2 linked regions of the Cricetulus griseus genome follow. The protein of the gene in region 2 purifies or fractionates together with the protein of the main gene of each other region. This does not show direct contact. Links are inferred from orthologs where the notes say so. Each region holds a gene or a part of one and is shown on either strand. Other genes may lie near its edges.

What was found. Proteins that work in one complex are often made in the same cells at the same time.
Region 1: the proteins of Pam16 (region 2) and Dnajc19 purify together in Homo sapiens (affinity purification with mass spectrometry; 3 studies listed by BioGRID and IntAct, with this or other methods). This does not show direct contact. The link is inferred for Cricetulus griseus from reciprocal best matches to the Homo sapiens genes PAM16 and DNAJC19.

Annotation. Positions count from the first base shown.
Region 1 is NW_023276806.1:115,389,220-115,393,439, forward strand, and holds the start of Dnajc19 (mitochondrial import inner membrane translocase subunit TIM14), read left to right. Parts: upstream 1-1,420; 5' UTR 1,421-1,571; coding exon 1,572-1,574; intron 1,575-2,519; coding exon 2,520-2,571; intron 2,572-2,651; coding exon 2,652-2,725; intron 2,726-3,415; coding exon 3,416-3,495; intron 3,496-3,755; coding exon 3,756-3,826; intron 3,827-4,220. UniProt on the Homo sapiens protein: Mitochondrial co-chaperone which forms a complex with prohibitins to regulate cardiolipin remodeling.
Region 2 is NC_048600.1:42,041,052-42,045,235, forward strand, and holds the start of Pam16 (mitochondrial import inner membrane translocase subunit TIM16), read left to right. Parts: upstream 1-1,384; 5' UTR 1,385-1,398; coding exon of another isoform or gene 1,399-1,537; coding exon 1,538-1,540; intron 1,541-1,843; exon of another isoform or gene 1,844-1,950; intron 1,951-4,184. UniProt on the Homo sapiens protein: Regulates ATP-dependent protein translocation into the mitochondrial matrix. Inhibits DNAJC19 stimulation of HSPA9/Mortalin ATPase activity.

The sequences.
Region 1 (4,220 bases), on a different chromosome or scaffold from region 2:
TTTTTCCAAAAGGCATGTTCAATTTCCTGCTTCCTCTGTGTCTGGCTGACAGCTCCTCCTGACTCTACCCTTCTTCTTCCCAGCATCCTCTCACTTATGCTCTACCGCCTAACCTCTTCCTGTCTAGCTATTGGACAGTCAGTACTTTATTAACAATGAGAATAATACATATTCACAGTGTACAAAAAGGATTATTCCACAGCAGGGGCAACACTTTAAACAGTACATCTTAAGAAGAAATCATCTTCATAATAATTCACAGGTAAAAATGCCTGGGAGAATGGGATATTTCCATAAGATAATCTTAAAATAATGTGCATTCCCCCACACCCATTCACACCATGCCAGATACCAGGAAAAAAAATGGCAGTGTCAAACATGCAAAGACACAACAGTAGAAAGAGACATTCTGGGACCAAGGCTATCAGGGCCTTACCTATCCGAGATTCACCCATCAGAGCTTTGCTTCCTGGTGGGCTGATCCACTGAAATCAATGGTCACCTGTGTCTCTTCTGACATGGCCACTGACACTGGATCCTGTTGCTATGACCTCCTCTGTCTCAACTTCTTGGAGCTTATGGCCTACAAACTATTCATTACTGCCAAACCCCTACAATGTGATTTTCGAAAGCTCACCCTAACCTCTACCACTTAAAAAGGAACTGTTCCAACAAGCAATGCTTGGGACACTACTCAAATATTTGCAAAATGATGGAACCACTTGCCTAATGCTGAACAGAAAAAGCAACTCACATTGGATCAAAGCCAGAAAACTACAAAACCCCTAAAAGCAAACCAAGGGTAAATCATACATGACATTGGCCAACCAACCATGTGCTCAGGGCAACGCAGATACAGCAGTTCTTTTAATTAGAAAAGTAGTAGCACGGCCTAAAACAGAACGATACAGAAAATAAACAATGAACACACAGCAGTTGTGTTCTTTAGTGAACAAATTCGTGTAGCCTAAAGAAGACACCAAGAAAGGAGATGGAAAAATTAATTTTCCATACAATTTTTGACCTACTTATAGACCTAAGTTCTATGTCAAAAGAAGAAAGGTATCTCTGCAGGCCATGAAGATCAGCGTCCTGGCTTCTTTATATTCTCTGGCCACAGAGCACATTACGTAGCCAAAAATGCACTGAGACATAGCACGTGGATAGAAAACAAAATGTATCATGAGAATATCTTCATCTGATAAACAGCGCTACTTTTATAGGATGGACGGAAAAACCTATATAAAGCAAAATTAAGGCGGTATGTTTTAGCCTGAAAACTCATTTTAGGGACAGGCATTAGACTTCCAAATCTTCAGAAGCCCAGGGTTGAGGGCACGGCAAGCCCCGCCCACGTCCGACCTTCGAGTCAACCCGAGTTGCTGGGCCCCTTTTGCAGCACCTTGTGCGACAGTTCCTGAGGCGCTTTTCGGCGCTGCTGCCGTGTTGCGCGGCGTTGGCTGCTGGACCCGGCGGCGGCGTTGGCTGGGCCGCTGCGCTCTCCACAGGCGTGCTGTGGCGGTGGGCTCGCGCTGGGATGAGCGCGCGCTGCCGGGCCGCGGAGCGGAGTCATGGTGAGTGGCCGGCGCTGACGGGCTCGGACGTGGCGCTCCGGCCGGGCGGAAGCCAAGACAGACCTTTGCTCCGGCCTCCCGCGGGCTCCAACCCACACCCCGATCTCCGCTGAAGGGAAACGTTCGCGCCTCCTGGGAGGTCGACCTGTTAACCCCCACAACAAATCCTTAGTGATGGAAGTGCCCTGTGAGAATCTTTCAGGGAGCCTTTGCAAACACCTTTTCCTAACTCAGCAGAAATCTTATTTCCACCGCTCTTGTTTAAACTTTATTGAGGTTCTAGTGCCTGTGGGTTAAAAGTTCTCTTCGACGTCTGAAAAATCGCCCTTTTTGTTGCGGAGGTTGACTTACCCTTGTTAGCGAAAATCCCACACCCGACAGTAAATTGTGTTATCAAAATTGCAGTTTTTTGTTTTTTTTTTTTAATTTTCGAGACAGGGTCTCACTATGTAATAACCCTGGTTGTTCTAGAAACTCAAGAGATCCACCTGTCAATGCCTCCCACGTGCTGGGATTAAATGACATTAAAAGCCCACCATCGTGCACAGCGTCAGAATGCAGTTTTAAAGACTATATAATATATATAATATATATGGCATATATATTATATATATTATATATTTTCTTCCAGCAGGCCCGGTGCTGCGCTGCACTCTATTTAGTGCACCTACTTAGGACACTGAGGCAGAAGAATCGCAAATTCATGGCCAGCCTGGACAATTTAGCAAGACCGCCTCAATATAAACGGAACTTTGACAAAGGCTGGAAGAAGTCCCACCAGTATAGCACCTTGCATGTGTAACACCCTAGATCTTACCCCCACCCCCAAAAGGAAAAAAGAACCCACCTTTCACTGAGATGAGCTCAGGGTTGTGATGAGTTTGGATAGAAAATTGGTGGCAGTTAGAGAAGTTAAGATTTACTACTCTTTCCCTCCTTTACCAGGCCAGTACAGTGGTAGCGGTTGGACTGACCATTGCTGCTGCAGGATTTGCAGGTTTGTTTGTTTGGGGTGGGGGGGTGGAAGACTAGACTGGCTATGGATTAATTTGCTTATTGTATTGATTTTGGTTTTAGGCCGTTATGTTTTACAAGCCGTGAAGCATGTGGAGCCTCAAGTAAAACAAGTTTTTCAAAGCCTACCAAAATCTGTAAGACTTTTTTTGCTAAATGTATTGCCTGTATCTCAAGACTGGAACTGCCCTATAGCCTGAATCCCACAGGTCCAGTGAGGAGTTGCAAACTTTGTAGTGGTGCCACACTAGCAATCAGTTGTCACATGTGACAATGCAGGGTGGGTGACTTTACAGGGTTATCATCTGTCTACCACCTGTCTTCTGGGATCTGCTGTGTCACATGAGACATATGTGGCATTGCCATGCTGTTGAATGTAACTACATTAAAACAGCACACACAGCTGCTGCCCCTCACATCATGGACAGCTTGGGCAGCAACATTAAGACCTTGGTGTCCATTATTTCCTGCTAAGGTTGAGGTCCTGGTGGACCTCACTACCCTCATTTCCCCTGCACTACCTACCATAAACTCATTTTTAGGGGCTGCCTTGAATCAGGTGTGATACTGCTGTTTTATGAGAATAAGGGTGACAAGGGTCTCCATTCACTCCTGATTTTGTTCTTGTCTTTTATCTGCAAGACAGTTTGTTCCAGTTTGGCTAGAAGAAATGAATGTTTAATACTTGTTATAATAGTTACCACGCATCAAGCTAAAATACCTTGGGAAATATACTTGTAGGTCTCTGAAACTTTTTTTTTCAATTGATTTAACCAACCTTCCATTTAGTTCACTAATCTTTCCTTCCAATCCAATTTTCCTTTCAGGCCTTCAGTGGTGGGTACTATAGAGGTGGGTTTGAACCCAAAATGACAAAACGCGAGGCAGCATTAATACTAGGTGTCAGGTAAGATTTCTACTAGTTATTAATATGATAAAGGATAAGGTAATTCCTGTATTTTCCTGTAATTGCAAATGAAATGTTGAACAAGGATTGTCAGGTCAACTACATTTAGTTTTGTTTTTAAGCACTGTTTTGTTTTAAGCACTGGTTCTGATTTAGAAAATGCATTTTACATCTGTGTGAGGTTTATAAACAGTATTAAATCTGGCCCTTCTGCATAGCTGTGTATATGTGTTCAATTTATGCTTCCATTTTCAAATTAGCCCTACTGCCAATAAAGGGAAGATCAGGGATGCTCACCGACGGATCATGCTCTTAAACCACCCAGACAAGGGTAAGTAACCATGCAATTTTCATTAAACACTGCTATTAATGGGGAAACTTAATTCTTGGTCTAAATATACAGATGAGTAGTCTCCCAGGTGTCTTAAATAAGTGAAATCCACCAGATATGGTGACATACACCTGTAGTTGCAGTACTCAGGGACCAACCTGCCCTGCAGTGATACCTTGTCTCACCAAAACAAAGGTTTAATGAACAAAAGAGCCATTGAGTTGGCAGTAATAATAAACATTAATACTGCTTTTAGGTTCTGTGTTTGATAAAATGTCTTCCAGTAAGGAAGGTCACAAATACTATTTTGGTTGGCTTGTTTTTAAGACATCTTACTATGTAGCCAAGGTTGGTCTAAACCTCATGACCATCCTCCTGCCCCAGTCCTAAGTGT
Region 2 (4,184 bases):
TAGTTGTGACTCTGATTCTATGGGATATCCAGAGCAAACCATAGTGGCAGAATGCAAATGAGTAGTTTCCAGGGTAGGGAAGTGACTGCTGGGTGGAAGGAAATGTTCTAGACTGGATGGTGGTGAAGGCAGAATTGAATTGTGCACTCCAAAAGGTCCAACTGTTTAGTGTGTGAACTATGGGTGTCTTGACAGAACTGTCGCAAACACAGAGACCAGAGAAGATCTTGTGAAGACTTGGAGAGAAGAGAACCCTCTGCAAGCCAATCAGAGACGCTTAAACAAACCTGGCAACATCGAGACATAAAGATTCTATAACGTGCAGGGTGGTAGTGGTGCACGCCTTTAATCCCAGCACTCAAGAGACAGAGGCAGGCAGATCTGTGAGTTCAAGGACAGACTGGTCTACAGAGTTCCAGCACTGGCTAGCCAGGGCTACACAGAGCAACCCTGTCTTGCCACCCCACTCCCCAGGCTCCCCCCCAAAGGATTCCAGAACTATCTTTTAAAACACACCCCTGTTACGATAAATCTTTCCTCCAAAAGCTGCCCGAGCCCCACCGCCACGTGTGCTTTACGCCAGCCGCCTGCCCGAGTTAGGGCCCAAATTAATGCACAGAGAGACTTGTATTAGGTACAAAGCTGCTTGGCCAGTGACTAGGATTCTCATCTGTTAGCTCAGTCTTAATTATCATAAATCTATATATTTTATAAGACTTATCAGACACCTTATTGGCGTCCCTCCTTGCCGGTGGCTCACATCCCGCCGCTGGAGGAGGTGAAGGGGAAAGGGAAGACGCTTCTTGTTTCCTTTGCTTGCATGAGTCTCCTTGCTATGTCTCATCCTGCCTGGATCACCACTTCTCTACTACATTTCCCAGAATCCTCTTTGACTCCTAGTCCTGTCTAACTTGCTGTTTCATGGCCAAATTAGTACTTTATTCAATAATCAATAAGATGAACATACACAGTACATTCTCCATCACACCCCAGTCCATCTAAAGCAGCAGCGTGGTGGGCATATCAGTGTAGTGGGGGGACTTGATGGACTTCACTGAGAAGAAGGCTTTACATTATAGACTTGAAGTGGGTGGAAACTATCCCATCTGGTATCTAGTAGTTTCACAAGCAGGAGGAATCTGGAATTAAACCTATTTTGAAATACCTAGTTTCTTAAGTATTCCAGAGAAATTGACATCCAGCCCTTTATTACTTTGGCTTATTTCATATGATGGCTCCTTCCTAACTATTTCGGGGGAGATGAAGGGAAAAAAACAACTTGGTGCACCAGTTCCAAGGCCACCGGAGGTTTGCAGCCGCCCATCGCCCGCCCAGTAGTCTTCAGATCCCGAGGCAGGCCCCGCCTACATACATACCGGAAGAGTCACGCCCCTGGAAATGCGTCGCGTCGTCGCGTCGTCGCGTCGTCGCGCACGCGCTCTCCAGTCTCCCTTGACCTCTGACCCACCGGCAGCCCCAGCGCTGGTCCCACTGGGTCCGGGAGCGGCACCCGGCCCTGTGAGGCGGAGCGGCCGCCATGGTGAGGATCGGGGAGGGAGGTCGAGTCAGAGTCGGGAGGCTGGCCCCGGCCCCCACAGGAAGTAGGGTCTGTGGCGCGTCGTGGGGTCGCAGGCCGTTGACTCTCGGGCAGGGACGACCGCTGGCCGGGCCTGGGAACCGAGGCTCGGCCGGCAGCAAGCCCCGGCGGGGTCCAGCCTCCGCGGGCCGGGCCCCGGCGTGAGCAAGCTTCTACGGGCTGTGGGAGGAGGTGATTGTTGGGTGGGCCGGCTCCTGAGTGGTAGGACTCGGCGATGTCGCTTGGTTTTTTAACCGCGTTTGACAGTTGGCTCCTCCAAGGAAGTGGTAGTCCTGGGACCTGAGCTGAAATCGAGACCTGGAGGCTGAGTATTTGTGGGAGACCATGCATGTCGCCTGTGCAACCTTTAAAAGGCAGGTTCTTTAGTTTTGCCCCTAAGTAATTGGAAGGCGGTTGGTTGGGGGAACCTATTTATTTCCTTGTCTGCTTATGTACTTATTTGAGACAGGGTAGCACTATAGGTAGCCTTGGTTGTCTCCTAACGTCCTATTGTAGTAGATCAGACTGGCCTTAAACTTGCTGAGCTCCACTTGCCTCTGCCCCTGGCTCTCCAGTGCTGGCATCAAAGGTGTGCCTCATCACACCCGACTAGGGAGCCTGTTATTTAATAATTAGAAGGTGGCAGTTAACTGCTTACAGTGCTGTGCCTGGAGCTGAGACTTTATGTAGATTGTCATTTAATCTCTCTCAGTCATCCCCATTTTACATTCAAGGGACCTGAAGTTCCGAGAATTTGACTTTTCCAGGTTCTTCTTTTATGCAAGAGTCAGAGGCTGTTTTGGACCCAGTTTTGTTGATTTGCCACCATATTATCCCTGCCTTGTAATTGGGCCACCGACATCTTGTGAGGACCTGTATTGATTGCTCGTACCTTGCATTCTCCATATTCAACTCTCAGCTTTTCTCAGGCGGTCATAGTGGCTACACTTGCAAACCCAGCACTTGGGAGGCTGAGGCAGGAAGATCAGGAGTTCAGAACTAGTATGGACTTCATGAGTTCCAGGGCATAGCTCAGTGTTATAATGCTTGCCCACCAGGGGAGAGGCCTTAGATTCAATCCCCAGTACACCTCCAAATAGGAAAAGAAGGTATAAATGGGAGGAGTCTAGAATTTTCACCTGGGAGTCAGATTATGGCGTATTTTTCCAGCCCTGAAGGTTGTTAAAGGTTTTTGGTTTGGAGCATTGTCTTGCTTTGTGACTCAGGCTGGCTTCAAACTCTAGGGATCACCCTGCCCCAGCCTCCCAAGTGCTGGAATTAGGTATGTGCCACCACCATGCCTTTGCTTTTTGGGGCTTTTTTTTTTTTTTTTTTTTTTTTTGCTTTTTGAGACAGAGTTTCTCTGTGGCTTTGGAGCCTGTCCTGGAACTAGCCCTTGTAGACCAGGCTGGTCTCCAACTCACAGAGATCCGCCTGTCTCTGCCTCCCGAGTGCTGGGATGAAAGGCGTGTGCCACCACCGCCCTGCTCACCATGCCTTTGCAATGTTGCATCTTGACAGTATCTAGGTAGGAAGGAGGGTATTCACAGTGAAGGAACTCAGAGCATAAAGAATCATGAGAGCTTACCTAGAAGTAAAGGGTACAGTTGCAATGGGGGAAAGGTAAGAGGGAAAAAATCCAGAGAACTAAGATGAGGTCAGAGGTGAGAGATATCAGTGCCAAGCTGACCTGAATATGCAGACAGGAGCACTGTGTGAGAATTGGGCAACCACCAGAGCCTTAACTTGGCAGCATTAGAAGCATATGGAAACCCTGCCTGGGGAATGGAGTGTGTGAGATTGCAGCTTTGGCCAAACAGCACTTAAGAGTGACTTGATTAAAGTGTTAATTCATGGACAGTCACACACTTTCAAGTATATATTGGGCACCTGCTGTGCAGGCCTCTGGGGACCCAGAAATACTGTCACAAATGGCACCATATAGTCCTGACCTTCCTCCTGTCTAGCAGTGACACCAGTAACTATTAAAAGGGCTCAAGGGATAACCCAAGTTCCTTCCTGTCGTCAGTCTGATCCACACCCAGGGCCTGCTACTGTGTATTGGAGGAACATTGTACACAGGCCTGAAAGTTGGGCCCTTCCTGATGCACTTCGATGACTTAAGCCTCATTTTTGCCCACCCTCCAGCGCCCCCCCCCCCCATGAACCTTGTCTGAGGTCATATTCCCAGATAGGAAAGGAAGTGAGTTGCTAACAGCAGGTTTCAAGGTTGAAGCCTTGTGTTTATAACTCCTGCCCCCAGCTACTGCTTGCCTGGAGTGAGCTGTGAATTGGTTGTTCTTGGCCTGGGACCTTGAGGCCTGTCAGTGAGTTAGAGCTGTTGGGGGCTTTCTTAGAGGGCCTTCTAGTGGACTGTAACTGGCAGAGCTTTGCTCTCCCAAAATCTTCCACTTTGAGCATCACCTGATTGCCAGACTATTAACACCAAACAGGGTCTGGTCTGGGAGCAAAGCCAGCAGTTGAGCTCTGATTCTAGGATGCTGCTGTCTGTCTACTCAATTTTGTGTGCATTGCCTCCCAGGGCCTTACACCCCTCCTGTATGGAAATATATTATTCTCTTTATTTTGCAATTTAAAAAACTGGTAG